Kluyveromyces lactis: one gene and its partners. The protein of the gene in region 1 purifies or fractionates together with the protein of each later gene. This does not show direct contact. Links are inferred from orthologs where the notes say so. Each region holds a gene or a part of one and is shown in the gene's direction. Other genes may lie near its edges. The genes, in order: RRP7, ECM16, UTP10, PWP2, KLLA0_F13222g, UTP4 and KRE33.

Evidence for each region.
Region 2: the proteins of RRP7 (region 1) and ECM16 purify together in Saccharomyces cerevisiae (affinity purification with mass spectrometry; 3 studies listed by BioGRID). This does not show direct contact. The link is inferred for Kluyveromyces lactis from reciprocal best matches to the Saccharomyces cerevisiae genes RRP7 and ECM16.
Region 3: the proteins of RRP7 (region 1) and UTP10 purify together in Saccharomyces cerevisiae (affinity purification with mass spectrometry; 3 studies listed by BioGRID). This does not show direct contact. The link is inferred for Kluyveromyces lactis from reciprocal best matches to the Saccharomyces cerevisiae genes RRP7 and UTP10.
Region 4: the proteins of RRP7 (region 1) and PWP2 purify together in Saccharomyces cerevisiae (affinity purification with mass spectrometry; 4 studies listed by BioGRID, with this or other methods). This does not show direct contact. The link is inferred for Kluyveromyces lactis from reciprocal best matches to the Saccharomyces cerevisiae genes RRP7 and PWP2.
Region 5: the proteins of RRP7 (region 1) and KLLA0_F13222g purify together in Saccharomyces cerevisiae (affinity purification with mass spectrometry; 3 studies listed by BioGRID, with this or other methods). This does not show direct contact. The link is inferred for Kluyveromyces lactis from reciprocal best matches to the Saccharomyces cerevisiae genes RRP7 and IFH1.
Region 6: the proteins of RRP7 (region 1) and UTP4 purify together in Saccharomyces cerevisiae (affinity purification with mass spectrometry; 3 studies listed by BioGRID). This does not show direct contact. The link is inferred for Kluyveromyces lactis from reciprocal best matches to the Saccharomyces cerevisiae genes RRP7 and UTP4.
Region 7: the proteins of RRP7 (region 1) and KRE33 purify together in Saccharomyces cerevisiae (affinity purification with mass spectrometry; 3 studies listed by BioGRID). This does not show direct contact. The link is inferred for Kluyveromyces lactis from reciprocal best matches to the Saccharomyces cerevisiae genes RRP7 and KRE33.

Annotation. Positions count from the first base shown.
Region 1 is NC_006039.1:106,140-109,524, reverse strand, and holds RRP7 (Rrp7p), read left to right. Parts: upstream 1-1,639; coding exon 1,640-2,620; downstream 2,621-3,385. Other genes in the region: HIS4 (trifunctional histidinol dehydrogenase/phosphoribosyl-AMP cyclohydrolase/phosphoribosyl-ATP diphosphatase), read left to right, coding at 1-729; SDH7 (Sdh7p), read left to right, coding at 1,044-1,433; STE50 (Ste50p), read right to left, coding at 2,826-3,385. UniProt on the Saccharomyces cerevisiae protein: Plays an important role in the synthesis of 18S rRNA but is not required for the 5.8S and 25S pathway. Is necessary for the cleavage at site A2. Is required for efficient association of RPS27 with the pre-ribosomal particle.
Region 2 is NC_006042.1:1,596,997-1,601,434, reverse strand, and holds the start of ECM16 (ATP-dependent RNA helicase ECM16), read left to right. Parts: upstream 1-1,538; coding exon 1,539-4,438. Other genes in the region: DNA helicase RAD5, read left to right, coding at 1-148; SAS2 (histone acetyltransferase), read right to left, coding at 215-1,174. UniProt on the Saccharomyces cerevisiae protein: Probable ATP-binding RNA helicase. Required for 18S rRNA synthesis. May play a role in restructuring of the pre-rRNA.
Region 3 is NC_006042.1:1,973,582-1,978,298, forward strand, and holds the start of UTP10 (snoRNA-binding rRNA-processing protein UTP10), read left to right. Parts: upstream 1-1,621; coding exon 1,622-4,717. Other genes in the region: KLLA0_F21164g (uncharacterized protein), read right to left, coding at 1-699. UniProt on the Saccharomyces cerevisiae protein: Involved in nucleolar processing of pre-18S ribosomal RNA. Required for optimal pre-ribosomal RNA transcription by RNA polymerase I together with a subset of U3 proteins required for transcription (t-UTPs). Involved in ribosome biosynthesis.
Region 4 is NC_006039.1:783,099-787,678, forward strand, and holds PWP2 (snoRNA-binding rRNA-processing protein PWP2), read left to right. Parts: upstream 1-1,437; coding exon 1,438-4,173; downstream 4,174-4,580. Other genes in the region: YIH1 (Yih1p), read left to right, coding at 1-141; MPP6 (Mpp6p), read right to left, coding at 258-785; CTR86 (Ctr86p), read left to right, coding at 4,503-4,580. UniProt on the Saccharomyces cerevisiae protein: Required for bud-site selection and cell separation. Also involved in nucleolar processing of pre-18S ribosomal RNA.
Region 5 is NC_006042.1:1,219,149-1,223,833, forward strand, and holds KLLA0_F13222g (uncharacterized protein), read left to right. Parts: upstream 1-1,530; coding exon 1,531-4,485; downstream 4,486-4,685. Other genes in the region: KLLA0_F13200g (survival factor 1 family protein), read left to right, coding at 1-778. UniProt on the Saccharomyces cerevisiae protein: Transcriptional coactivator that together with FHL1 regulates the expression of rRNA and ribosomal protein genes. Its activity is negatively regulated by environmental stress.
Region 6 is NC_006040.1:1,131,335-1,135,827, reverse strand, and holds UTP4 (small subunit rRNA maturation protein UTP4), read left to right. Parts: upstream 1-1,550; coding exon 1,551-3,761; downstream 3,762-4,493. Other genes in the region: condensin subunit YCG1, read right to left, coding at 1-1,311; KLLA0_D13200g (uncharacterized protein), read right to left, coding at 3,844-4,493. UniProt on the Saccharomyces cerevisiae protein: Involved in nucleolar processing of pre-18S ribosomal RNA. Required for optimal pre-ribosomal RNA transcription by RNA polymerase I together with a subset of U3 proteins required for transcription (t-UTPs).
Region 7 is NC_006042.1:2,271,917-2,276,364, reverse strand, and holds the start of KRE33 (ribosome biosynthesis protein KRE33), read left to right. Parts: upstream 1-1,488; coding exon 1,489-4,448. Other genes in the region: transcription factor NDT80, read right to left, coding at 1-629. UniProt on the Saccharomyces cerevisiae protein: RNA cytidine acetyltransferase with specificity toward both 18S rRNA and tRNAs. Catalyzes the formation of N(4)-acetylcytidine (ac4C) at positions 1280 and 1773 in 18S rRNA.

The DNA of each region.
Region 1 (3,385 bases):
GTTCCTAAAGTGGACAAAATCTTAGGCCCTGGTAACCAGTTTGTTACCGCAGCAAAAATGTATGTTCAAAACGACACTCAAGCTTTATGTTCTATCGATATGCCAGCTGGTCCAAGTGAAGTCTTGGTCATTTGTGATGAAGAAGCTGATGTTGACTTTGTTGCATCGGATTTGCTATCACAGGCTGAGCATGGTATTGACTCTCAAGTTATTTTGGTAGGTGTCTCGTTATCTGACTCGAAGATTGAAGCTTTACAAAATGCTGTTCACGAACAAGCTATGCAGCTACCTAGAGTTGATATTGTTCGTAAATGTATCGCCCACAGCTCAATCATTCTATGTGATTCTTACGAAGAAGCCTTCAAGATGTCGAACCAATATGCTCCTGAACATTTGATTCTACAAATTTCAAATGCCGAAGACTATGTCAAAGATGTGGATCACGCCGGTTCCATTTTTGTTGGTGCTTATACTCCAGAATCATGTGGTGATTACTCTAGTGGTACGAATCATACATTACCTACCTATGGTTATGCTAGGCAGTACAGTGGTGTGAACACAGCCACTTTCCAGAAGTTTATCACTTCTCAAGTGGTCACCCCAGTCGGTTTAGAACATATTGGTCATGCTGTGATGAGTGTTGCTAAAGTCGAAGGCTTGGATGCTCACAGAAACGCAGTCAAGATCAGGATGTCAAAGTTGGGCTTACTACCATCAGGTTTTGAATAATATAGAACTAACTTATTAAGATTTGAATTTAATATCTAAAAGAAAAATAATGCTATGTTTGTATAGAAATGAATAAACTTTAACCATTCGAATTGTTTAGAAGCTTACTCCAGAAGCACGCGTTGAATGCATGAAACTTCCCCAGAGATTTGCATATTCAAAGTATCAAAATATTACTTCACGTGACTTCTAAATACAAAAACAATGGAAATCTTAATGAAAATGCTTGATACCGCATATCATCATCGCTAGAGTTGAATAAATTGATGATATAGAGCTGTGACTCCGCGTAACGTACCAGCAACCCATTAAACATGCAGGTTAACCATCTATTAAGGCAAGCTGTCAAACAGACCACTAGAGCGGGACGGCTAGGTTCGAGGAAACCTCACAAACCGCTCTTGCCTCCGTTACAATTGTACCGTAGAATCCTCAGAGAACACAGAAACTTACCAACGATGCAGAGAGAGTTGGGAGATCAATATGTCAAGAATGAATTCAAGTTGCATAAGAGTACTGACAATCCCTTATACATTGTTGGATTCTTAGCCTCATGGCAGGATTATCTGCATATGATTACAAGAGGTGAATGGGAAGAAGGAACTTTATCCACTGACCTGCTTGAAAAGATGTCACCAGAACAAGTTACCCAGTTGTACGAATTGATGAAAGAAGCTGAACAGCTGAAATCAGGTGGTGAATGATCTTCGGAAGGTTGTAAGACAGACATTTCCCAAATATTATATCTTTCCTCCAAATTCTCTCAAGTAGTGGGTGAGGAGAAGGGTTTATATACTCAACTTTTTGTTGCACGTGACTTCAAAAGACTTTCGTCTTATATTGAAAATTTTCTTCTCGACACTATTTAGTAGTTGTGTAATGAAAACTATGATTTAAAGTTAGTAAAGTGATGAGAAGAGATGAGCTGAAGAAATTCGCTTCAACAACTTTCAACGAATTTGTTTGGGTTATACACCGATCAAGATACCTCTCCACACACTTTCAATACGAAAGAATGGTTCTTGAACAGATGCAAAATGGCTTCCTAATTGTGCCGTTTTTACTACCTCAAGTAAAGAGTTTAAACCAGAAACCGACGAAAGTATATCATTATATGTTTGTGAGAAAGCATCAATCAAAACTGGAAAATGAACAACACTGCTTATTCCTAGTTAATCTACCTCTTTTAACACAACTCGAAAACTTGAAGAAAAATTTCCAAGAGATCTGTCATCAGAATGAAACCGTTTCGCATGTGCAAGATCTACTCTATCATGATGAGTTCGGATTACATGATGTTGACTTATCATCATTGACTTCTCATTTAATGAGTGTTGATGAACCTAGTGAGAAAAGATTTACGCCAAGAAATACTGCATTACTACAGTTTGTGGATAAGCAGTCCGTAGAAAACTGTTGGGAAGCACTAAGGAAATACTCTTCTAGCAAGAAGCAACAACAGATACTGTGGGAATTTCAATCCCCATCAATCGAGACATTCACAGCATTCTACCGTCCATTACCGTTAAAATATTTGAAAACGGATATACATGAACATATGGCTCTTTTCGAACAAAGAGAACAGCAAGCTCAAGAAGAAGTACAATCATCTATTGTTGATGAAGATGGTTTCACATTAGTAGTAGGAAAGAATACAAAATCATTAAACAGCATAAGGAAAAAGATATTCAACAGAAATCCATTATTAAAGCATGAGAAACCTAAGAAGATGCCTAATATGGTTGACAAGAAGGCAAAGAAGGACTTCTATAGATTCCAAGTCCGTGAAAGAAAGAAGCAGGAAATTAATGAGTTGCTAGCCAAATTCAAGCAAGATCAAGAAAAGATAAAGGAGATGAAGTCCAAAAGAAGGTTCAACCCGTACACATAATTATTTGAGAAAACTTTCCTGATAAGGTGCTCTATTTGTTATTTACTATAGTTGAGAATGTGTCTTTGTACAACATACGTAACTCTTATAGAAAGAGATAATTAATCTATCAATACAATTATTCGTTCATGAAAGCTCTAAAATGAAAGTTTATGGTTGCTTGCCAAGTGTTTTTTCCAGTTGATGAAGGAGGAGATAACAAACATTATAGCCTACCTCCCGGTGTTGCTGCCATTTCTCCCACTTCCTCAAAGTCACCTTTTTGTCTTAACATAATTGCAGGATGCAGGCCTTGTTGTTTTAAAGACTTGAAGATCTGTACTGGTTTTTCATCGAGATCAAGAACTCGTTCTTGATCTCCATAGCATATCACTAAAACATGCTGTCTCCAATCCGTTTCATTCAAATTGTGCCTCTTCATCGCATTTCTTAAAACCTTTTCACATGAATCCTCCTTTGAGGCACGTAATTGTTTCATAGGTTCTGAACTTGGAGCTGATGATACTCCAGCTCCGCCTGGAGTATTCGCCGATCCGGGTGTGGTGGCAATATGTGACGATGAAACATTTCTGGTGCTTGAAGATTGTGGTGGCAGCCCTGGATTGGAATTCGATCTGTATTTGGGTGATGATGGCGTGTGTGAAGAATGGTGTGGAGCTCTATCGAAGTAATCTTGCGAAGAAGGTTGATGTTGAAGTTGTTGAGAAGACTGAGAGGAACCTGAACCAGATCCACTGTTCCTCTTCACGATTTCCAACAAATCCA
Region 2 (4,438 bases), on another chromosome or scaffold:
AGTTGTCCGGTTCATTATCGATAATAGTGTAGAAGAGAAAATGTTAAGAATACAGGAAAGAAAGAGAATGTTAGGGGATATTGTTGAGGGTGATGAGGCAGAAAGGAGACAGAAGAGGATCGAGGAAATCCAAATGTTGTTTCAATAGACTATCATGACATTCAATCATATAGAAGCCTTTTAGGGCTTTGCATTTAAGCTGTTATTTAATTCGTTAATCATCAAGTAGTAGATATTCATCTTTGATCATAAATCCATGGGATACCTTGTTGCGTCTTGCCCATGAACGGATGATATTGAGTCTTATTTCAGAATCACTTAAACAATCAAGATATTTGAGAGCTTGAATTATATCATTGATTCTAAAACCAGTGGCCTCGGAAAGATCCTTCAAAGTGACCTGGGCCACATCTTTCAAATTACCTTCAGTCAACTGCCAAACTATTGAGAAAGACCAAAATTTAAGATAGCCAATTAAACCGAAAGGAGATAGAGGAACTTCAGGACCCGAAATCAGACCCTGACATCTTGATAAAGTGTAGGAAAACTCAATCAAGAGAGTACCCAATCTTCTTCTTTGATAGGGCGGAAAGACAAGAATACATGCAAGGTTATTTTGGTGGTAGGAATATAAGTCTTTTGAAAAAAATGCCATCGGTACTGTAGAATTGTTCTCATACACAATATAGAATTCGAAATGCTTAACTTTGAAGTAGACAGACTTGTTATCAAGAAATAGCTTAGTAAATAGACATAAGCATTGGCAGAAAACTTCATGCTTAGAACCTTTTACCCTTCGTATAGTGTATTCGGGGCTTCTGTATTTTATTCTACCGGGTGGCTTATTCTTATATCGGCAAAAGCACTCATGTGCGATTAACTCTGCTTCATCATCAGTGTACTTGAAACAATATTCACATACGTATAGGGTATCAATCCAATACTGATCTTCAAACTTCTTTTCAGTAGGGCTTTGTTTTGCGGTGTGCTCATTGTTCGATTCCTTGAAGCCCAAGGTCCTCTTATTTCTTCCAAAATAAACATTACTCCCGTACCAAGTTGCAAATCTTTTATTCAAGCCAAATTGGACGTGCCTAATATTAGGCTTGTCAAGAATACCATATATTTCTTCATCCTCTGTTGAGCTGTTGTGCTTATCAGGTTTGGGAACCATTCATTAATGATTTGAAAAGAGGCAAAAAATGCGATTTATCACGTTTCCCAAATTTAATGAGTACTTGAAAACCCAATTAACGGTGGAATCAACTGCTCTTTGAACTTAAATGTACAAAAGATTGCCTATATCTTTGAATTATCAAAACGTTGAAAGCGACTTTCTTTTTTTTTTTTTCATCTTCCTTTATGGCAGAAAAAGCTTTAAAGCTCATCGCATCTCATCGCATCCAAGCTCACCTGCATCTATATATCAAAATCTCGTTGATAACAGGCTGGTAGTCTGAATGTTATAGGCCTCTGTGACATTAACAGTCAAGAGAAGTACCTCGCACGTTAAACGGTCAAAAAATTGAACAACAAACATGGGTACCTATAGGAAGCGCTGGAATGAGAAAGCACGCGCGGGTCAGATGTCTAAGTTGAAGGAGTTGAAGAGAGTAAGGAATAGGCAGTTCACCCGTGCACTTGAAAATTCTTCCGATGCTGATTCTGAAGAAGGTAATTCATCTGAAGATGAACATCATGAATCACCCGATCATCAGGAAGATACGAACGCTGCTGTATTGAAACCCATGACGGAGGAAGAGAAACAAGAGAAAAAGCGTAAATTGGAAGAGCTATTCACACCTAAGGAAACGAAGGTCTCTAGGACGAAGAAAAAAAGGTTAGAGAAGTTCATCGAGCATCAATTGAAAAGAGAGGAGAAAAAAGTTTTGATAGAAAAACTTCAGGACTATAAAATTGATACTAAGCTTTTGACAAGTTCTAAGATTTTGGGACAAGGAAGGCAAACTAAGAGGCAAGGGATTGAAGAAGCCCTCAAATTAGAAAGAAATGGACGTGGTGATGAAACTACCAGGGAAATTCTTTACGATGAAACTGAGGTAAGGGATTGGTATCAAGATCATCCAGAAACTAGGCCCAGTCAGGAAAGCACAGCTGAAAATTGCAATTCGGATAGTGATGAAACGGACCATACCAGTTCAGATCACCCTATTTCGGCAAATACTGGGGGATTTATTGATAATAGACCCAGTAAATTTGGTGGGTCAGGTTTTGGTTTTGGATTCGGTAATGCAAAGGTGGTGAATAAAAGGGCCTCGAAGAAAAGGTATAACTGGAAGCAAAAGGTAGAGCAAGAAGAACGTAGAAGGCGTAAACTGGATGATGATCAGGATTTTGAATCTGACGAAAGTGAATCAGAAGAACATTCATCCACTGCAGAAAGTGAACCTGATGAGAGTGAATCTAATAGTAATGCTGATAGTCACAGCGATGATGAGTCGAGTGAGTCTGACGGCGAGGAAAGATCGGATTCAGAAATAGCGCAGTGCAGAAACGTAAGTTCTTCAGTTGCCCAAGAATTTAAAGAGTGGGCAAATCAGGAAATTAAAAAGCTTGAAGGTAGAGATGTAGAAATGGTTATGCCTTCCTCCAACATCAAGGTCGATAGGACCGAGAGACCTGAAGACTTTGAAGATGGACTCAAAGCAGATGAATTTAATGTGAACGAAAATTCAACACGTAAGGCTTTTTATGTCAAGGTACGGAGATCTGATGCTGTTCAAGCTGTGAGAAGCGCACTACCTGTTTTCGCCGAGGAACATAGAATTATGGAAGCTATCCATCATAATGACGTTGTAATCATTTGTGGTGAAACTGGTTCAGGTAAAACGACACAGGTACCGCAGTTTCTTTACGAGGCAGGATATGGTAATTCGTCCTCAACTGACACGCCTGGGATGATTGGAATAACACAACCTAGAAGAGTGGCCGCTGTCTCTATGGCTGGACGTGTTACTAATGAGATGGGTGATCATGGCGAATATGTAGGATACCAAATTCGGTTCGATTCTTCTACCAAGGATAAAACAAGAATGAAATTTATGACTGATGGTGTTTTGCTAAGAGAGATGATGAACGATTTTAGACTTTCTAAATACTCTTCTATCATTATCGATGAAGCTCACGAGAGGAACATCAATACAGATATTTTGATTGGTATGTTAAGTCGTTGTGTCAGCTTACGTGCTAAGGAGCATGCAACTGATCCGGCTAAGTACAAAAAACTTAAACTAATTATCATGTCTGCCACCTTGAGAGTATCAGATTTTAGTGAAAACCCTACTTTATTCCCTGTTTCTCCACCTGTCTTAAAGGTCGACGCCAGGCAGTATCCAGTGGCTGTACATTTCAATCGTAGAACAGCTTATAACTATGCTGAAGAGGCTTTCAGGAAGACGTGTAAAATACATCAAAGGTTGCCTCCTGGTGCTATCTTGGTTTTTATGACAGGACAGCAAGAGATCACGCACATGGTAAAAAGGTTAAGAAAAGAGTTTCCTTTCCCCAAGAAACATCAAACTCTCATTCAAAATGACCACATACCTACAGTGAAAATAGATGCCAAAACTGCAGATGTAGAAGCTGAAGATATCGACTTCAGTGTCAGAGTTAGAGAGGAACAAGAATTTGACGATTGTTTACTCTCTGATGAGGAAGATATTGAGGACAAAGAAGAGGACGAAGAAGAAGGTTTTGAAGAAACACTTGAAGAAGGTCAGACGGATAGAGATCCACTATATGTTCTTCCTCTTTACTCGCTATTGCCCACCAAAGAGCAAATGAAGGTCTTCCTTGATCCCCCACCAAACTCCAGATTATGTGTTGTTGCTACTAATGTGGCAGAAACATCATTGACCATACCGGGAGTAAGATACGTCGTTGATTGTGGTAGATCAAAGGAAAGAAAGTTTGATGAAAATAATGGTGTTCAGAGTTTCGAAATTGACTGGATTAGCAAAGCTTCTGCTGGCCAAAGAAGTGGTAGAGCAGGGCGTACAGGGCCTGGTCATTGTTATCGTTTATACTCCTCTGCAGTTTTCGAAAGAGATTTTGAGCAGTTTTCTAAGCCTGAAATTTTAAGAATGCCTGTGGAGAGTATAGTTTTGCAAATGAAGAGCATGGCTGTTCATAATATTGTGAATTTTCCATTCCCTACCCCACCCGAAAGACCAGCTTTGATGAAGTCAATAAAGCTCTTACAACACCTAGGTGCACTCGACAGTAATGAAAGAATCACTGATGATGGTAAAGCAATGAGTTTGTTTCCGCTAAGTCCAAGATTTTCTAAAATGCTGCTTGTTGGTAATGAAAGCGACTGTTTGAAATATGTTGTTACCATTGTCAGTGCCCTTTCAGTAGGTGAGCCGTTTTTATCTGAACAAGAGCTTGGTATCATGGATACTGTGCCCAAGACACA
Region 3 (4,717 bases), on another chromosome or scaffold:
CTTCTTCTCGTCATCACCCTTGTCATCGTGTTCCCTATCTTCCTTATGTCCCTTGTGGTGCTTCTTACCCCATTTCAACTTCAATGGTTCAGATTCGTGATACAATTCACCATCGATATCTCCAATGTAAGCTTGGAAACCGTATCCACCAACGTAGTATAGATCTTCCACTTCAAATTCGTAGAATGCACCATCATGGACCAAACTTTCTTCACCAGGTAACCATGGGATGGCATCTGGGTGTCTTTTACCGTAACAGTCTCTCAAAGCCTTGGTCGTTTCAAGTTTCTTCAACGAACCGAAAAGATTGGCACGAGGAGAACTCATAGCGTGATGTCTGGGCCTTCTGTCCTCCACGGTAATAGAAAGCTTGCCGTTATCCTGATAGTTTCTCAAAGTGGAGGAAACGTTCATCAAGACCAAGATTGGGTTACCTGTGGAATTCACACCCTCACATAAATCAGAAGATACATAGTATTCTGGGAAAGTCACCGGAGTCTTTCCATCCTTCAAAGTAGAAACATGAACCAAGTCACCATACTTAACAACACCTCTAGCAACCTCAGCAGCGTATTCACGAGTTAGGTTGAACTCTTTCTCCTTATGAGAGGACTCTCTCAATTTCTTATCGCACCCTTCGCGTGCAGAAACGGAATCTAAAGCTAAAGCCAAAGATAACAACAAAGTACTACACTTCATGACTGAATTATTAATGGCTCAATAACTGATGTCGTTATTTGGATAAACAATCTCTCCGCAAGTTGTAACCCCTAAGCTCATCGCTATTCAATCTTGATAGAAGGTTCCTTAAACCTGTCGTTGCCTATATATAAAATAAACGGTACAAAATTTATAATGCGGTAAATTACATAATGCAAACTAAGGTAAGGAAGGTGCTCAGCCTCAAACTTCCGAAAAAGTAGTTTGTTTACCAGAAGAAAACATTTTTGCAGTTCACCCAAGCCTTTGCATTGAGATTGGTTCGGACGAACCATCCGCCTAGATCTCGGATCTAAGTTTAATCGCAGAGACATCGCCGCATAACCACATCGCTCCAGCCAGGTGTGTTTTTCTTTTGTTCTTATATGAGCCGGTCCTTTGCTGAAAAGCCAGTCTGAACGCAGGCCCAACGCACACAACTCACACACACCCTCAAATGGAAACGTTGAGGCATTGCTAAGTAGATAGCTGCTATGAGCCTTGTTTATGCCAAACATGCTTATACGGTTGGCTGAGATCCGAAATTCCTCAGAAACTAGCCATTACTTGTAGTGTGACCTTGCACGGCACATGATGTATTGAAACAACTCTTAAGTCTGTATGTACTTCAATAGATCCGAAAGCAGGTGGAAACTGACCAGTAGCTTGCATATTGAGCTACGGGGAGACTTGACCCAAGTTTATGGTATCACTCCATTTTCATACACGTGACCATAAATGAATTTCTTTTCACCGCAGCATGAACAAATCGAAAATTTTAAAGAGTGAAAGAAAAAAAAAGTAGCGATGAGATGAGATGAGATGAGGTTCAAATCGTTGGCTTTGCAATCATCTCCTGGCGATAGATTTTTGATCAGGTTCGACTTGCTAGTACTCCAGGCAACGGCAGAGACGATATAGAATGTCATCTTTACGTGATCAATTAGCGCAGGTAGCGCAGAATAACGCTACTGTTGCTCTTGATAGAAAGAGAAGACAAAAGTTACATTCTGCGTCTTTGGTTTACAATCCGAAGACTGCTGCTACTCAGGACTATGAGTATATATACGATACAGCGTTGGAATCGTTTCATACTTTGGTGAGTTTGGACTTGAGGTTCAAAGTTTTCACTAATTCCTTATTCAGTGCATCTTCCGTGACCATTGATAGAAACGTTCAAACAAAGGATCAGATTAGAGATTTGGATAACGCAGTTAATGCGTATTTGATGTTGATTTCGCCGAAATGGCATCTAACTCCAGCTTTGCATGCTACGGAATGGTTGATTCGTAGGTTCCAAATTCATATCCATAACGCCGAAATGCTTCTTCTATCTACTTTGAACCAATACCAAACGCCGGTGTTCAAAAGGATCCTCAATATCGTTAAGCTACCACCTTTGTTCAACCCATTTACCAATTTTGTCAGAAACGATAAGAATCCAACCGATTTGACGTTGATCAAATTGTTTAACGATATGGACTTCTTGAAGCTTTATTCAAATTATCTGTCCAAGATTATCAAGCAAAAAGTTACCTATACGAATCAACTGCTATTTACCACATGTTGTTTCATTAACGTGATCGCTTTCAATGCGAACGATGAAGATAAGTTAAATAAATTGGTCCCATTGATTTTGGAAATTTCCGCAAAACTTTTGGCATCGGATTCAAGCGATTGTCAAATGGCTGCTCATACTATGCTCGCGGTACTTGCCACCGCATTGCCTTTGAACAAAAGCATTATCATTGCGGCTACGGAAACTATCTTGGCCAATTTAAAGGAAGACGATGCTAGAAAAAAAGCTCTCGTCACAATCTCAAAACTTTTCCAAACCTTGAAAGGTGTAGGTAATGTGGATCAATTACCGGTCAAGATCTATAAACTCGTTGATAATTCTTTCCCATTCGAATATCTACTACAGTTCCTGAGTAATGAAAACAAATATTCCTCAGATAAATTTTTCACTGCATACATTAGGTCTGTCATCAGATATGATCATGATAAATTGAGTCAAATTGTCAAAATCTTAAGGAAGATTAAGTTGGAAAAATACGAAGTTAGATTTATCATCACTGATTTGATACATTTATCTGAAGTTCTAGAGGACAAGTCACAATTAATCGATGTTTTTGAATACTTCATTTCCATTAACGAGGGACTAGTTTTGAAATGTCTTCAAGCACTAAACCTGACCGGAGAAGTTTTCGAAATAAGATTGACAACTTCATTATTTTCCGTCAAGAACAGTGCGGAACAATCTGGTGAAGATATCATTAAAGTTCTAGATGATGCTAAAGCATCAACCGCGAATGGTTCAGCTGTTCCATTTAAAGATTTCATGACCAAAAACTCAGAGTTCATCTCCACTAAAGCGGAGTCTATGCTTCTTGTTAAAGATGAAAAGTTTGTCAAGCTGTTGTCATTATTTGTGGAAGCTGTAAGTAAAGGATATCAACCAGGTCTATTTTTATCCTCCTTCTTCACTACTTTAGAGAGCAGGATAACGTTTGTGCTCAGAATCATCGTATCCCCTGGTTCGCCTGTTGCTCTCAGATTGATTTCACTAACACAGTTAAGCAAATTCATCAATGGTATAGATGAGCAAACGGATCTTTTCTCTTTGGTACCTATTCTAGTGACAGCATTGATGGATATTTCTAGATCTGTTCGTTCCAACACGAAAAAGGTTCTACAACAGATAGCCAAGAGACCTTTCACAGCAAAGTATTTCCTATCTAACGTACTCTACGGAGAGAATTTAAAGGTGCCAATGTTAAGTCCGAAAGATAGCAAGTTTTGGTTGACCAACTTTTTAAGCGATTACATCGTTGAAAGTACAGATATTTCATCCCTCGTCATTCCATCCAAAAATGACATGGTATATATGCTGTTTTGGTGCAACCAGGCACTGCATCTTCCTCTCGCCTATTCGAAGACTATAATGTTAAAGCTCTTGACCGCTGTGCCACAATATGCTTTTACATATTCAAAGGTGTTCGAACAATTTATGGCCACATACATCACGGAAAGAAGTTCCTGGGAAACGAAGTGCATCAAAAATAAAACCAATTTCAAAGACTTCGAAACTGCGGTATGTGCCATTGTTGCACCAAAAGAAAAAAACAGTTTCGCGATAGATTTTTTGATTAACTGTTTGGAATCAGAATATGAACAACTTTCGAATATCATGGCAGACAGAATTTTATCTTTGTATCCAACATTGAAATTCCCAAACCAATTAAAAATTGTTCAGAGTATAATAGACTCCTCAGTTGACAAAGAACTATCATATGATGGTCTAGAAACCCTTCAAAGTCTTCCATTAACTGCAGATATTTTTGTCTCTGTGTTGAAAAGTAATACCATAAACAGCGAAGATCAAACAGATTTGACTAAACGTAGAAGAAGAAGATCGTCTACGGTTAACAAGTCCGCCCTACAGAAACAAGATATTTCTCAAATTGCCGAAGCCCACCTAAAGAAAATGACTATTATTCTGGAGACTTTGGATAAATTGAAGGTAAAGAGTAACGAAAATCTATTGAATGCCTTATTCAACCTTTTGTCCGACTTGGAAACTTTAGACCATGATGGTGGTTTGCCTGTACTTTACGCTCAGGAAACTCTGTCCTCTTGTCTTTTGAACACTATTTCTTCTCTAAAATCTAACAACGGAAGTATGAAATTACCCTCTATTAGAGCAGATATACTAGTCGCTGCCATTAGATCATCAACATCTCCTCAAATGCAAAATAAGCTCCTATTAGTTGTTGGAGCATTGGCTTCAGTATCTCCCGAAACTATATTACATTCTGTCATGCCTATTTTTACCTTCATGGGTGCACATACGATACGTCAGGACGATGAATTCTCCACTCTAGTTGTGGAAAGAACAATTAGTACTATTGTGCCTGCATTATTGAAATCGACGGAAGTTACGAACAAATCTGACGAAATAGAGTTCCTTCTAATGAGTTTCTCAACTGCATTTTCCCATGTTCCTAAGCACAGAAGG
Region 4 (4,580 bases), about 680 kb from region 1:
GCCGTTGGAAGATGGTTCGGAGGAGTTCATATTGGTCCAGATAGATTCAAGCATATAAATTCAACAACTAGAGAAGTAATATTGAAGGGGCATTTCACAGAAGCTGCTACCTCTACTTCAAGTAAGAAGAGGTCAAAATAGTTCACATTTATAGAATGGAGTATTGTTACCGGAATTTGATCTACTCTATTTATTATATAAGTCGGCGAAAATAATATACAAATACTAGTGTCTCATTTAGCATCCTGCTATGAAGTTTAATTTCTATTCCTTTTTGACTTCTTCTTATTCCTCTCAGTATTACCATTACCATTGGATTTCTTCTGTTTCTTAGTCTGTGTTTCGGCTTCCCATAGCTTTTCTAAATCTGTCGTCGACACATCGTCCTCGTCCTTTTCTTCAAAACTTCTTTTCTTATCATTAGAACTCCCATCTGAACCGGGCGTAGCTCGTCCGAGTTTATTTCCGAATATTCTTCTTCCTGCATTTACACTAGTCCGTAGTGTGCTTGTGCTGAGATCGTTTGTATCGATCTTCGAATCCTCATCATTCAGTGACTTGATAGCAGAGAAACCTACGTTCTGTACCACTTTTGATTTATTAGCAAGTTTTGTCAAGAGTTTTACATTGTCACCTATCCTCCATTCTGACGAGTCCACCAATTTCTTTATTGTCTCCTCGGTCTGTTTAACTTTGTCTGCTTGTTCCGCATGCTTCATGAACTTCATGTTCATCACTCTATTGGATAACTTGCCTGTGACTTCATGCCGTTTCTGTCCACTCATTGTTACCTTTTCGTCTTAGTGCCCCTATTACCGCTTTCAAATAGGCTTCACTATATCATTGACACTGGAATACATTTTTAATGTATCATTAAAGTCCTAATACAGCTCATCTCATCAATCTTCTGCTGAATGGTTTGATCTTACATATTAGAATTTCATGAAAAGTTTGTTTACGATTGTCCGGAAAATGAAAGATAGCAAGAAGATAGAAATATCCATGGTTAAACCCCGTCGGACGTATTTCAGAATGCAAGGATCTGCACTATAAAAGGAACATTGTACAAAAATAAATGAAATAAAAAGGTCATTGGTAAAAGTATGAAAACAGCTATAATGAAGTACTCATACTAAGTTTCAAGTGCTGACATAAACGACAATCCACCCAAAAACCGACATGTTTCTGTTCTCTCTTTCTTTACTTCCGTGCTAAAGCTGTATATGTTTTCCTTTCTTTTTCATTCAGCATACAGGATTTCGAAAAATTTAAGAGAAAAAATTGAGCGATGAGATGAGATGAGATGAGATGAGTTCAAGCAGGAAGTGCAGACGGATTATCAGTCACTTGTAAGGACTTTGCATTATAATCAGTTGTTCAATTTCAATTAGTTGGAAGGAATCAGGTCAGACGAGCTTTATAAGGGTTTAGTTACGGATGAAGTCTGATTTTAAGTTTTCCAATCTTTTGGGAACTGTTTATAGGCAAGGTAACGTCTTGTTCTCTCAAGATGGTTCCAAGTTACTTTCACCGGTAGGTAATAGGGTGTCGGTATTTGATTTGATCAACAATACTGCTTTTACCTTCGAATATGAACATAGGAAGAACGTTGCCGTTGTAGATATCAACAAGCAAGGTACGTTACTTCTTTCCATTGATGTCGATGGTCGTGGTATCTTGGCGAACTTTAAGACAAGAAACGTATTGCATCATTTCAACTTCAAAGAAAAGGTTTATGACTTGAAGTTTTCACCTGATGGCAAGTTATTTGCGCTGGCTTGTGGGAGATTCTTACAAATATGGAGGACACCCGAGACCACTGAGGATAGACAGTTTGCACCTTTTGTTCGTTATAGAATCCATGCCGGCCACTTTTCTGATATAACTTCCTTGACATGGTCAAAAGATTCAAGATTTATTATATCCACATCCAAGGACCTAACGGCAAGGATATGGTCAGTTAACTCGGAGGAGAAAAATCTTGCATCGACGACTTTTGCAGGACATAGAGATAACGTTATCGGAGCATATTTCAGCGATGACCAGGAAAAGATATACACGGTCAGTAAAGATGGTGCCTTATTCCAATGGGAATACACCAAAAAGCCTGGTGAAGGGGAAGACAATGATGAAGATGAGGAAGATGTAGATTTGTCAAAATATAGTTGGAGAATCACAAAGAAGAATTTTTTCCATGCAAACAGAGCAAAGGTGAAGTGTTCTGCATTCCATGCTGCATCCAACATATTAACAGTCGGTTTCTCAAACGGTGAATTCCGACTCTATGAACTGCCAGAATTCATCATGATTCAACAACTTTCAATGGGTCAAAATGCAGTTAATACGGTTGCCATCAACAGTTCTGGTGAATGGTTGGCTTTCGGTTCTAGTAAACTTGGGCAATTGATAGTGTACGAATGGCAATCAGAGTCATATATTCTAAAACAACAAGGTCATTTCGATACGTTAAATGGATTGTGTTACTCCCCAGATGGATCGAAGATTGTCACAGCAAGTCACGAAGGTAAGATCAAGATTTGGGATGTCGCGTCAGGTTTCTGTTTGGCAACTTTTGATGAACATGCAGGTGGTGTAAGTGCAGTAGAATTTGCTAAAAAAGGTCAAGTTTTGTTTTCAGCTTCTTTGGATGGTACCGTGAAAGCATGGGACTTGATCAGATATCGTAATTTCAGAACGTTCACTGCGACCGAAAGAATACAGTTCAACTCATTAGCAGTTGATCCAAGCGGAGAAGTTGTATGTGCCGGGTCGGAAGATAGCTTTGACATTTTTGTTTGGTCAGTACAGACTGGTCAGTTAGTGGATACACTATCTGGCCATGAAGGTCCTATCTCCTGTTTATCTTTCAGTAATGAGAATGGAGTTTTGGCATCCGCTTCATGGGATAAAACAATTAGAGTGTGGTCTCTCTTCGGTAGAAGTCAACAGGTAGAGCCTTTTGAAGTATTTTCTGATGTTTTATCTATTTCTATGAAACCGGATGGTCAACAAATAGCTGCAAGTACTCTAGCGGGGCAAATATTATTCTTTGATGTTGCTGAGGGCAAACAGGTGGGAAATATTGACGGCAAAAGGGATATAATCTCGGGTAGACATTTGGAAGATCGGTTCACATCAGAAAGTTCAGCAAGATCTAAATATTTTACCACCATTCATTACAGTTTCGATGGTCTCTCTTTGGTTGCAGCCGGTAACAATAATTCCATATGTCTTTATGACATTCCAAACGAAGTACTGCTAAGAAGATTTACCGTATCCAAAAACATGATGTTAAACGGCACCATGGAGTTTTTAAACTCAAGTAGAATGACAGAAGCAGGATCTTTGGATCTCATTGATCAAGATGCAGAAAATTCAGACTTGGAAGATCGCGTAGATAACAGCCTTCCTGGTTCGAATAGAGGAGGTGACTTATCGACAAGAAGAGTCAGACCGGCGATCAGAGTGACGTCTATAAGATTCTCTCCTACTGCTAATGCATTTGCCGCCGGTTCAACAGAAGGTTTACTTGTATATTCCGTTGATAATACTATTCTTTTTGATCCTTTCGATCTTGACGTCGATGTGACTCCACAGAATGTTATCCAAAGCTTAGATGACAAGGAATATCTCAATGCCATACTAATGGCTTTCCGTCTAAATGAGGGCTATCTAATCCACAGAGTATATGAGAATATTCCAATAAAGGATATTCCATTGATAGCTCACGAGTTGCCAGTGGTTTACGTATCAAGAATTCTAAAATTCATTGGTGAGTACGCTTTAGAATCACAGCATTTGGAGTTCAATCTCCTTTGGATCAAATCTGTACTTACAGCCCACGGCAAATACATTTCTACTAATAAGCATCAATTCTCTAGCGCATTGAGAGCTGTCCAAAGATTTATTGGTAGAATGGCAAATGACGTCGTCCAAACATACAAGAGAAATAAGTACACATTAGACTTTTTGACAAATACCGATGGTTCTTCAACTAACGCTGTTGACGAGGATATGAATCTACTGGGCAATGATTCAGACAACGAATCTGAAGACAAAGAGGATATCAACATGGACGACGATTTAGATGGAGGTGAATGGGTTGGATTCGAGGAAAAAACTATTAATCTTCCTGTTAATGACGAAGATTCTGACGACGAAATCCTACTATGAAATCGGGATACTTCACTAAAAAGAGAATATATATAATTCCTAGCATGATAGATATATAAAATCACATCTCATTAATTTCAATAAAACAATCATTACCACGAATTCACATGGAGATTTTCACTGTTGTCCGTTTTTAACTTACGTTATTGCCTCTTAATCTGATAAGTTACATGCATATTAAAAATTCAAAATTGTTAAAAACCTTATAATTCAGGAACAGTTTTGAGATGAGATGAGATCAGATGAGATGAAGAATATTCAAAATAGAGAAATTGCGGTACAAAGCGTGACATTGCGCTCTACTGTTCATAAAAGCGCTTTAAACATACATGTCTGAAATTAGGTGGTCCAAGCTTCACAGTTTAATCCACGATGCACCAAGTGACTCAGGAGAGTACATTACTATA
Region 5 (4,685 bases), on another chromosome or scaffold:
CAATTTTTATCAAGGAGCTGAAGCGGTTCCGAATGAATCAAGGATAGGCACATTAAGTGTCGAAGGTCAAACGGAAGAGTTGTCCATCAGTTTAGATGTGAATATAGGCAAGGGATTCAAGATCAAACCCGATGGTAGGAGTTTCTTCTCGAGAGTTCCCATGAGGGGCAACCCAAACGTCGACAGGTGTATCAGACATGTATTTGCTCCGAATTGTACTGGATCAGGGCATATAGTGGTGAACTCGAAAAAGATAAAATTTCACTCAGTACCTATGGTCCTCATCACTGCATTGCAAGGCCTTAAACCTAACAGCGCTGCCAAATCGTGGAATTTCGCTGCTTTCATGTCACCTAGACGGACAATTTTATGTATGGAGTTTACAACGCCAAAAGAATACGGTGAACAAACAGTGACCATATCGTCGGACACAAACAAGATAACCTCATCACAGCGCATATATTGCGGTATACAGGATAAACATAAGCATGTGAAACATTTTGGGCTAACACTGGATCCCAAGACCGGAGTAGAGTATCCAAACATCGTAGAGATTCCGTTACCCAAAAAAGACGGTGAACTATGCCCCACGTTACTATTGGGGCCCTTAAATCTAATCAATGTGTACGATATATTACAAGAGATGCCCACGGTATTGAAAGGCATTGTGGAAAAGGTGGAAGGAATCAACCCATATCTATATCAGTTCTGTCAAAGAACCGAGGTAGATGACGAACGTGCAATATCACTTGTAGAAACAACATTTATAAGTCCATAGATCCAATTCAGATAAATTTAAAAAATGATTAACAGAGTGAATAGATGCGAGTCGTCATTAATCCCAGACATCTGATCTCCCATATCCAAGAGTCAAACGTCAAACGTCAAACGTCAAATTACGTATCTTGGCAATCTTCAAACACAGCAGAACATTACCCGGTACAACAAAAGAAATTTTTTTCCTCATTATCTTCTCAACCAATTTTCATAGGAAAACAGAGAAATAAAAAGTAAACTTAGAGCTCATCTCAAGAAATTGGGACTAGAATAAAATAGTGTGTAAAAAAAGCAGAGAATAACCTTGTTTCTGTCTTTGTCTCTGTCTTTGATCAAATCAGAGTTTCTCCTACCAACGCTGGCTGTAAAGATAGTGGAAAATTTTACGTATCTAGGTTAGAAGTGCAGTAAGATCAGGAATATTCAGGAATAGATTTCCCTGCTCTTCGGTTTTTTTTTTTTTGGTTTCATTCTACTAGTCGTTTATCTGCGAAGAGAAAGGATAAGGAATAAGGAATAAAGATTTGAATTGTGTGTGATCCCAGGACACTTACTGTTGATTAGCTAGTTATTAAAGATTGTGTTGAACTGGATAAAACGTTTTATAACCTAGAAATTTTTTTTTTCTTTTGGTTTTCTTTTTATTAAATTGTTGAGCCTATTGATTTGATCCAGGTGCATATAGAAAAGTCCACTAAAGAGTAGAATACCATTATTGCAGCTGCTAATTGCAACTGATAACACATATATATTATGTCAGGTAAAAGCCCGAGGAAGTTAACTAGTGGGAAGAAGCCTACGACTCTGAAAGCGTTACAGGATAAAATGGGAAATAAGAAGGATAAGCCTCCGCATTTAAGTTCTAGACCGAGACGTTTCAGTCTAATATATTCTAGTGATTCGTCGCTGAGTGATATACCACAGGATTCGAACAGCAGGGGCTCGAATTTGTCCAAGTTACCGTTATATAAGAATCCCAAAGCCGGAACTAAGCTAAAAGGTCGATCTTCGAATGCGATGGGTAAGAACGGAAAGCTGATATCAACGAATCAGGACTCAGCCATCACATCAGGTTCGGACAGTGCTACAGCGTCTTCAGACTACCAGTCTCTCTCGGAGGATGAAGGAGGTACAATGGCAGTAGATGATGACGATGATGATGATGATGATGATGATGATGATGATGACGATGACGATGATGACGATGATGATAGCGACAGTTCGAGTACTAGTTCAGACGATGACGTGGATTTTGTGAGACTTACTGCGGAACGTAAGAAAAACGCAATGAAACAGCTGAACGCTTTGAAGAGGGGCAAGACACCTGCAGAAACTGTCGTCAGTAACAGCAACAATAAAGGTAATAGTAAACAGGGTGGATTTCCTAATAGGGCTCAGCAGAATCGTGAAGCTTCGGATTCGAATGATGAGGACATTTCAAGCTCTGAACTATCAGATGCTCCTGAACTGTCATTCAATTTCAAAGGCGACGATGGGATCAAGTTCGGTGATGCTTCAGTAGCCTCCAAGAAGGCTGATGAAGATTTAGGTGAGGAAGTCAAGGATAAAGATGTGAAACAACCTTTAGATTCCATTAAACCAAATGTCGATAGATTGGCGGTACCGAAATTTTCAGATAGTGAGGATTCAGATTATAATATCGATCAAGAGGCATATTTCAAGACCATTGATGATGATAACGAAAATATTACCGGTATAGATAACGGCCTTGAGACTGGTGATGACGATATGGCTATTCTGGATGTTGAAGAACAGAATATGGTTAAACAGCTTGAACGTGATGATCATTCTTCTTTCGATGATTCGCAGGTGGAATCAAAGTATAGAGATGGGAAACCCAGAAATGACGACGATGATTACGAATACGACGAGGACGATGAAGATGATGCAATCATGAGTGATTTCGATATGCCCTTTTATGAAGATCCCAAGTTTTCCAATCTGTATTACTATGATGGCAGCGACCAACCCTTAACTTTAAGCACATCTTTACCGTTAGTGTTAAGCGAAGAGAAGCGTAAGAGGGAAGAGCGTAAGCAATTAAAACAGCGGGAAAGGCAGGAGAGGTTGAAAAGAAGAATGACTTCCAAGAAGTCTAAACGTGAACATTCTGCTACTCCAGATCTTGCAGAAGATGAGTACGTATTTGGGTTATTTTTCCAAAGCGATGACGAGAAACCTAAAGTTACCAATGACCTTGAATCTCCTTTGCGTAGGCTCAGTACCGTGGCAGTATCTGATAAAGAGCTTTCATCTGGAGATGAAGAGTACGAAGATATTCTATTAGATATCGCCCACCTCCCTACAGATGAAGAGGATGAAAATGGCTTGGAGCTAGACGAAGTCGAAAACTCAGATGGTGAAGATGACTTTGAAGAAGATGATGACGATATGAGTGTCACCAACGTTTTCATTGATATTGATGATCTCGATCCAGATGGCTTCTACTTTCATTACGATTCGTTATCAGATGAGGAAGCTGGAGAAGCTAAGAGCTATCCTGACACTCCAGATGACCATGTGGAAGGTGTCATCTTTGTAGATGACGAATCCACTGATGAAGATGACACTTTACCACCTCCAAATACAAGACGCAAAATTGGGACTAAGGCAAAAGAAGTCGTTAGTGCCAACGTTGTTGGTTTGAAGCCTCCGAAACTTGGAACTTGGCAGACAGATAACAAGCCCTTTAGTATCATTGATGGCCTTTCCACTAAATCTTTGTATCCTGCTATTCCGCCAGTTCAACAAATTTTAGATCCAAGAATTGAAGTCGAAGACGTTTCATCACATAATGGTATCGGATCAGGAGGCGAAAAAGAGGAACTAACCCTTAACGAATTGTTGAATATGAGTGAGCTTGAAGATGAAAACAATGAAGATGGCGCTGACTCGAATTCTAAGAATAAAGAGATTGCCACCTGGTATCACAAACCATCTGTTCCATTATCTGCTTTCAGAAATAAAGGCATCAACTTCGAACATCAAGAAGACGAATACATGCTTCCTGTGTTTTCAGCACGCAAGTTCCCAATTGGTTACGTTGGTAGTGAAAGGACTAGAAGGAAGATCGATAAGATGAAGGAATACCAAAGAAAGAAAGATGAAAAGCGACGGAAGATAAAGAAGAAAAAGAAGCTCTTGAAAATCAGAAGGGAAAGGCAAAGAATTGAAAAGCAAAAATTGCTCACTGCTCCTGAACAAGAAACTGAAACTGAACCCAACGCAGATTCTCACAACAACATTCAAACTCCCTCTAGCGTGAATTTGGCTAGTCCAAGTTCAAGTGTTTTCACCGATGCAGATGCTGGAAACACACCTAATGATTTCAACGGTCTGGTTTTACCAACGAGGAAGAATTCTGTGAAGGGATTAGGAATGGATGAAATTGATCAACTGCTGAAATCTGATGATGATTTAATACTTTCTCATCATGGAGATGAAGATGGAGATATTGATCTATTAGGCAGTGACGATGCAGATCTCCTGGTTTCTCTGACTGCCCCGATTGAAGAAATTGATTTTAACCATGAACAAATGAGCCATGTTGCCGCATGGAGAAGAAGAAACAGTATCGCCGAAGCTGCTGCTGAACATATGAGAGTAACCAAGAATGGACTTTTCAGTGAGACGGCGCTAGCTGATCTGGAGGAAATCATCGGAGGATCAACAGAACTCCCAAGTTAACCCTCATTTTCACTTCCTTTGATTTTATTTTTTATTCCTTGGTTTTACCACTGCTGCTGATGCGAAACTACTCGACTAAAGCATAACCATAAACTACAATTATCTGTATTCTACCTACTACACTTTCTTGGATATAATCTACATAGATATCATTCTGTGAAGCTCTATTCAGCTTCACCATTTTTTCCGTAAGAGGAGTG
Region 6 (4,493 bases), on another chromosome or scaffold:
ATGGAAGAAGAAACATTTTAATAAGAAAACAGTTTCGACGGTAAAAGTTTCCCAGACTTCTTTTGGGAATTTGACTTTTTCTATAACATCGGGCCTCTGTTCAAATAGTGCATAGAGTGCTTGTTCTGCATATGTAGAGTTCACAACGTCAATGTTCTCCAATAAATCGATGATGTCACCGTCCAGGATGTTCAACCAGGTGAAGGCAACTAATTTTTTACAAGAATTTCTAACCGTTTCATCTCTATCTTCAAACCCCCAGGTCATCAGTTTCTCTAAAATATCAGAATCCACCTCATCGAACGTATGCTTCCCCAAACTCTTTAGTACTCTTGTAAACACCAATCTTCTATTGATGAAATTAACATCTCGTACCCGTTCCAAGATAACATTCTGGGTCGCTTTCGAACGTACAATATTCAACATTGCTGCCCTCCGAACTTCTGGACTTGGATCATTCCTAATGATATGCATTAAACTCTGTGTAGCTTCATCGAGTTGGAAATTTACTCCGGTTTCTGATTCATTAATCATCGATACGTTATCGTTTTGAAATTTTGTCAAACAAAATATCGCCTGTATCCTAACATGAGGTTCCTTGTCATACACCCTATGCTTCAAAACCCACATAATCAACTCGTACAATTCCTCATCAATTTCTCCCATATTATCCATAGTTGCGGCCAAAAGTTGCATTACTCTGTATCGTACGTTTTTATTTTTCGATTCCACTCCTCGAAGCAGATTCCTCACAAATCCATCAATAAATCCTCCGAAATGTACTTCCAAATTCCTCACATTTTGCTCATTACCATCTTCGGTTCTCATCTTGTTAAGATTCGACTCTATATTTGCGATGAACCCTGAAATCAACCGAACAATGCGATCCCCCACGATTTCCTGTTTCTTCAGCGGCAAGATTTTGACAGTCATTTTGATAAACCAATAATGAAACACATCTGATATCTCTTGCTCCACACATTTCAAATAAATCCTGTATAAGACAGCTACATGACGTCTGTGACCAGCATAACTCTTCTGCGCCACCTGGAAAACCTCCGCTATAGAATTCAGAACACGACGATTTGTAGGAGATTCTCCATCCTGAACATCCATATCAAACAATTGCACCCTTTTGGTCAATAATACCACGAGTATACACCAGGGAAAGGCTGCTATGAGGTTGCCGCCGATGTTTCTTCCACTTTCCTTTTCCTCTTTGTTTATTAGTTTGTTTATGTGAAGAGAAGATCCAATTGTAAACAAATCTCGTTTTCCCAATAGATCTAATATATCACGTGATATGATCATACTGTACGGTGTTGAAGCTAAACTAGTTTCTTTTTGAAAAATTTCAGCGTTAAGAGCACACAAGCTTAGAACAGAAGCTCATCTCATCGGATAACAAAGTCGTATATTTCTATCTAGTCAGTGAAGTTTTTTGATTGACATCAGCCTACAGTTTGTCAATCTTTTGTTTCATTCTAATACATTAGCTTTTGTTCTCTGATACAGGTTTAAGGTCCTCAATTTATAGAACACATTTGATCATGACTGATACTGGGAAGAAACAGGTAGTGCATCGATCCAGGTTTGTGCAGTTTACACCTGGTAATATAACGGCTCTTGCATTTTCACACAAAAGTACTGATAAAGCGGCACCGCAAGAGCTAAGACTGGCTATTGGTAGATCCAATGGTAATATTGAGATCTGGAATCCAAGAGATGATTGGGTACAAGAGTTCGTGATCTTGGGAGGTGAAGGAAGATCCATTGAAGGTCTTTCCTGGTGCAGTATTCGTGGAGAGCCTTTGAGACTATTTTCGATCGGTGGCTCCACTGTAGTTACAGAATGGGATTTGACAACCGGGTTGCCGTTAGTAAATTACGATTGTAACTCTGGTGTGATTTGGTCCATTGCAATGAGCAACGATATGAATAAGCTAGCGGTCGGATGTGATAACGGCAGTGTAGTACTTATTAACATCAGTGGTGGTAAAGGTGTTCTTGAGCATGAGAGCATACTTACAAGGCAAGAATCTCGTGTCTTATCGTTGACATGGACAGCCAATGATGAATCTTTGGTCGCTGGTTGTTCTGATGGAAGGATTAGAATATGGTATACTAAGGAGCAAGACGAAAACAAGGGAAGACTATTACATACTATGAAAGTGGATAAATCGAAGAAAGAATCTACACTCGTATGGTCTGTGTTGTATCTAGCTAAACAGAACCAAATTGTGTCTGGTGATTCTACTGGGTCGGTCAAATTCTGGGACTTAAACTACGCAACATTGACTCAATCTTTCAAGGTTCATGATGCCGATGTTCTATGTCTGGCTACTGATCTGGATAATTCACAATTGTTCACTAGTGGTGTTGATAGAAAGATTTTCCAATTCTCTTACATCGATACAGGAAAGAGCATGAAATGGATCAGTACTTCAAACAGATTATTCCATTCCAATGATGTTAGATCTATGTCCTCTTATCAATGTATGGGATCCGACTTCCTAGTGTCTGGTGGTATTGAAAAGTCTCTTGTCATGTGCTCAATGTCCTCTTTCGCTGAAGGAAATTATAGAAAGATGCCACTAGTTACCCCATTCCATAAGAGCATCCTGGTCAACAAACAACAAAGACTATTGGTGATGTGGCAGGATAATATCGTGAAGATATGGTATATTGGCGAAGACGTCAATGAGCCTAAGAACTACAAATTAGTTAGTAAATTGGTTTTGAAGGATGAACAAAACATCCAAACCTGTGCACTATCAACTGACGGACAAGTTTTATTAGTGGGAAGACTAAATACTACCAAAGTTTTCCATTTACAACCAACAGACAACAAATTGAAAGTAACAAAGTTGGACAATGAGTTTTTGTTGAGAACTGGTTGCAAATTTGCTAAGTTCATTGATGATTCTAGGTTAATAATGTGTTCACAATCTGATGAAATAGTTAGAATTGACCTTGAAGAGGATGACGACGAAAAAACCGTAACTATTGAGTTACCTGAAGCGAACTCAACGAAATCCAGCAATAAACTATCATATTTGAATGCAGTGAACCATTTAGATGCAAATGAACGTTACGCTGTTGCGTCTAGAGGTACCGGTGCTCTAGACTTAATAGATTTGACAACAAACAGTAGTAAAGCTTTAATTCGCATGAACAACTTCATCACTGCACTGTGCATCACACCAAGAGAGACTGTAGTAGTAGTGACATCAGAAAATAAAATATACGAGTTCAATTTGGAATCCGAGAAGGATCAACTACTCACTGACTGGTTCAAAGCCAATCATGAAAACCTCCCAAGGCAATTTACTTCCTTGAAAGAGAGATGCACAGGAATATTCTTAGATGAAATGGATGAGCATAAGGTATGGTTCTGGGGATCTAACTGGTTGGTTAACATCAACATGTCATTAGACTTGCCAGTTAGCAAAAGAAAGAAGCAAAAGAAGCGTGACCGTGACGGATTAACTATTTCCACTGACGGTCTACAGGCAGACGTCGATGAGGATGATGAAGACGATGAAGAACTCGAAGTTAAGGAAGATTATCTCTTAAAAACTCAGAGAGCGCAAGATGTCACCTCCAAGAAGAGATCTGATAAGGCGTTTTTCTATACCGATAAGTATAGACCTCTATTATTCGCTGGAAAGATCGCAAGTGACCAATTAATCATTGTGGAAAGACCAAACTTCTTGATCTCCCAACCTCCTGCATTTGAATTAGAAAAGTTAGTATTCTAATTTATAATTTCTGTACATTATTATAAACTCGATCTTCATCGCGAAATTGATTTTTAACATAGGGTCATCATTCCGCCGCATATCATCTGTGTAGTGTTCTTTCTGCTACCTTAATACCAATGAATGTCAAGAGCGAACTGCAAGCGAACATTTTATCAGACCAGACGTCGATTACAACATCAGGAATAGTGAATTTCTCACCCAAGAGTTGATTGACCTGTTTTGAGACATCATATGGTAAATTGGAGCGAATCATCAAGATAGTGGCAAGGATGTACACACCTGTCAACTCACACACAGCGAGGTTTTTGATGATCGAAGGGGGTTTCTTGGTATAGAATGCATCCTTATTGCTCGTAGGAAGCTCAGAGCCATTGGTACTCTGCATTGCAGATAACGCTAATAATTGTAGTTTGACAGGCAGTAATGTCAAAAGATAAGAGATTGTCGTAGTGACAGTAGAAAGAGAGCACACGAACAACGAGATGGACAATATCAAGGATATCTGTTTGATTAACGAATCCATGTCATTTTGATGTTCTAATCTTAGAACCAAGAAGTCAAACATATTGGCGAATGTGACAGCTAAGGGGTCCTTTTCAGTACTTTTATTGTCGAAGAATTCATAACTAAAATCTGTTGGAAACTTAAATGAGTGTACTATAATTTTAGGCACTTTTACAAGCCACACGTCAGTCAATTTATAAACACAGTAAACCAAAAAAATCACCT
Region 7 (4,448 bases), on another chromosome or scaffold:
AAATAGCTATCAAATTTTTTCATCTTGGATTCGTTTCTCACGTTCGATGCATCTCTTATAATCTGGTGCTTCGGCAAATTTGCAGGTGCAATAACATGTATTGGAGGAGCAAATTGAGGGCCTTTATCTCGCTTTGCAGTGTGTTGAACTAGGTTAATCAATTTATCATCTTCCAAACACTTGGCGGCTAATTTGGTAGCGAAGTATTTGATCTCCACACCGTTATCTAAATGATACGCTTGTTTCATGAACTCGATATGATCAGTCCCCGGTGTGTCAAATGAAGTTACCACGGTGAAATAATTTCTTTTATAACCAATCCAATCGTCATCTATGAAATCAAACCCTCGATCAATCCGAGGCTCCAATTTGATTTCTTGAATCTGTCCAAAATCGTTCAATATCTTGTGATTGGGCACCACTGGCGTAAAGCCTGGGCCTATTTTGAACTGCAATGTTGACCTTGGAGCAATACGAACTTTTCTCTTGTCAAAATGACTACTTAATGACCCGTCAGCGTTCCTAAAAGTTTTGATCACGTCCCCGTCAGCATTATCAAGTGTTTCCAAAAATTCGTTCTCATCTATATTGATATTCTCATCGTTCAGATGGTCCAAATCCTCCATCATAGCAAGTTTGATCACATAAAACTATACTCTGTTCCTATTAAAAGAAAATATAGTTAGCTCTCACTCTCCTCCTGGCTATTGCTATGGAATAACCGCCGAGCTTACCTGAATGACCACGAAAAAATAAAACCAAAATAAAACCTAGGAATCGTACGTTCCGTATAAGAGATAACCACAACTGCGCTTGTTCAGGTAAAGAAACAACCTTATAATCGAACCTCGTTCTGATGTCAGTTCTTAACCTCTTATCTTATTCATCGGATCTATTTCATAAGAATATTGCCCTTATTCCTTGTGACACAAAAATACTGGTATTTATATAATGTTAGTTTTTCCCTTTTCGTCAGTCATGAAGAAAACTTTAATTAATACCCATGAAAACTACTACTGAAGTTTAAATATGAATTTAAAATATTAGTCGACATCACATAATGGTGCATTATGCACACGTAGTCATTTCTTGAAATTAGCCGCCGAAATTACACTGCGCATGAAATTCATGCGGGTAACAGTATATTTTCATCAAATAATTCCGGGTAAGTAGTATCTTTTCTTTTCTCTGCCTAATTTTTTTTTTTTTTTTTCATTGTCTTTTTACTATTTCATCGTATTAGGTAGGAATTTTATTTCGAGATGAGATGAGATCAAATGAGATGAGGTGGTTTGCTGAGAAGCTATCTGAGTATTACGAGACGTTTATTTCTCCCCAAAATACCTGATTACTGTACTTCGTTACTACAAAAAAAATCATTAAAAACACTAACTCTTCCCAACGGTCGAACTTCCAGCGAAACGTAACTGTCATTGTTTGTTGTTAAAGAGTGTGTTCTTAAAACTTTAAACCAGAAGTTAGATTACGATGGGTAAAAAAGCTATTGATTCTCGTATCCCAGCTCTCATCAGAAATGGTGTTCAAACAAATCAGAGATCATTTTTCGTTATCGTTGGTGACAATGCTCGTAACCAGCTACCGAACTTGCACTATTTAATGATGAGTGCTGACCTCAAAATGAATAAATCCGTGTTATGGACGTATAAGAAGAAACTCTTGGGTTTCACTTCACACAGGAAGAAGAGAGAAGCAAAGATTAAGAAAGAGATCAAGAGAGGTACCAGAGAGATAAATGAACAAGATCCTTTTGAAACTTTCATCTCTAACCAAAACATTCGATACTGTTATTATAAGGAAACTGAAAAAATTTTGGGTAACACTTATGGTATGTGTATCCTACAAGATTTTGAAGCTTTGACTCCAAATTTGCTAGCAAGAACCATCGAAACCGTTGAAGGTGGTGGTATCATTGTTATCATGTTAAAGTCCATTTCCTCTCTAAAACAGTTATACACTATGACTATGGATATCCACTCTCGTTATAGAACGGAAGCTCATGACGATGTCGTGGCAAGATTCAACGAAAGATTTATCTTGTCCTTGGGTTCGAATGAAAACTGTTTGGTAGTAGATAGTGAGTTAAACGTTTTACCTATATCTGGAGGAAAAAACGTAAAACCACTTCCACCAAAGGATGATGAAGAAATTTCACCAAAAAATCAAGAACTAAAAGAATTGAAAGTGTCTTTAGAAGATGTTCAGCCTGCGGGATCATTAGTTGCTCTTTCAAAAACGGTTAATCAAGCTCATGCAATCTTGACCTTCATTGATGCCATTTCAGAGAAAACTTTAAATTCAACTGTAGCATTGACGGCAGGTAGAGGTAGAGGTAAATCAGCTGCTCTAGGTATTTCTATTGCTGCTGCTGTATCCCATGGTTACTCCAATATCTTTGTAACATCTCCTTCCCCTGAGAATTTGAAGACTTTATTTGAGTTTATTTTCAAAGGATTTGACGCTCTAGGCTATCAGGAGCACATTGATTATGATATCATTCAGTCCACCAATCCAAGCTTCAACAAAGCCATAGTCAGAGTAGACATCAAGAGAGAACATAGACAGACCATTCAATATATTATTCCAAATGATTCTCATGTGTTGGGACAGGCAGAACTTGTTGTCATTGATGAAGCTGCCGCAATTCCACTACCACTTGTAAAGAAGCTTTTGGGTCCGTACTTAGTGTTTATGGCATCCACTATTAACGGTTATGAAGGTACCGGTAGATCTTTGTCTTTGAAATTGATTCAACAGCTAAGAACTCAATCCAACGGTACTGGCCGTGAAGATTCCGAAACAGCACTTGTTTCCAGAGATTCAAAGAAACAAGAAGTTCAAACAAGTGGCCGTTCTTTGAGAGAAGTTGTCTTAGATGAACCTATCAGATACGCTCCTGGTGACCCAGTTGAAAAATGGTTGAATAAATTACTTTGTTTGGACGTTCAACTAATCAAAAATCCAAGATTTGCTGCTAGAGGCACACCTCATCCATCTCAATGTAATTTATTCATCGTCAATAGAGATACTCTATTTTCTTATCATCCTGTTTCTGAAAATTTTCTGGAGAAGATGATGGCTCTTTATGTCGCATCGCATTACAAGAATTCTCCTAACGACTTGCAATTAATGAGTGATGCACCTGCTCATCAACTATTCGTTTTATTGCCTCCCATCGATCCAAAAGATGGCGGCAGAATACCTGATCCCTTAGTGGTCATCCAGGTCGCATTGGAAGGTGAGATCTCGAAGGATTCTGTCAGAAATTCTTTGGCAAGAGGTCAAAGAGCTGGTGGTGACTTAATTCCATGGCTAATCTCACAGCAATTTCAAGATGAAGAATTTGCCGGTTTGAGTGGTGCCCGTGTTGTTAGGATTGCAACCAATCCGGAATACGCCTCTATGGGTTATGGGTCTAGGGCTCTGGAGTTATTGAAAGATCATTTCGAAGGTAAATTCACCGATTTGAATGAAGATACGGTACAAAAGGACTACACAATCAAGAGAGTCGATGACAGGGATTTGAAGAAAGCAGACCTCTTGAAAGATGAAATCAAATTAAGGGATGCAAAGACGTTGCCACCATTGCTTCTGAAACTCTCAGAACAAACCCCTCACTTTTTGCATTACTTAGGTGTTTCATATGGTTTAACAAAATCTTTACATAAGTTCTGGAAAAACAACGGATTTGTCCCAGTTTACTTACGTCAAACAGCGAATGATTTGACTGGTGAACATACATGTGTTATGGTTAAAGTTCTTGAAGGTCGTGAATCAAAATGGCTGGCAGAATTTGCCAAAGATTTCCATAAAAGATTCTTGTCTTTATTATCGTTCGACTTTAAGAAATTCACTGCCATCGAAGCGTTAAATGTCATTGAATCTGCTAAGAAGGGTGAAACACTAGACCAAGACTCGGAGGGCAGATCGTTCCAGAATAAGGTTTTAACAAGGGACCAATTGGATTCCATCTTTTCTCCATTCGATCTAAAGAGGTTAGAAAGCTATGCTAACAACTTACTGGATTATCATGTCATTGTTGATCTTCTACCAATGATGGCATTGCTATACTTTAGTGGAAAGCTGGGTGACGGTGTATCATTATCAAGCGTACAATCGTGTATACTACTTGCAATTGGTTTGCAACACAAGGGCATTGATGACATAACGAAAGAGTTGAACTTACCATCCAATCAAACTATTGCCATGTTCTCCAAGATTATCAGGAAATTCACCAATTTCTTCAGGGAAGTTTTAAGCGAGTCTATTGAAAAAACCTTACCTCAAATCAAGGACCAAGAAATTGCCGAAATGAATGGCGAAGAAGTGTTGTCTTACAATGCTGCCGAAGTCATTGACAAAATGGAAGATGACCTTGAAAATGCAGGGAACGAAGCTATCAGCGCAATGAGAGAAAAGCAGAAAGAATT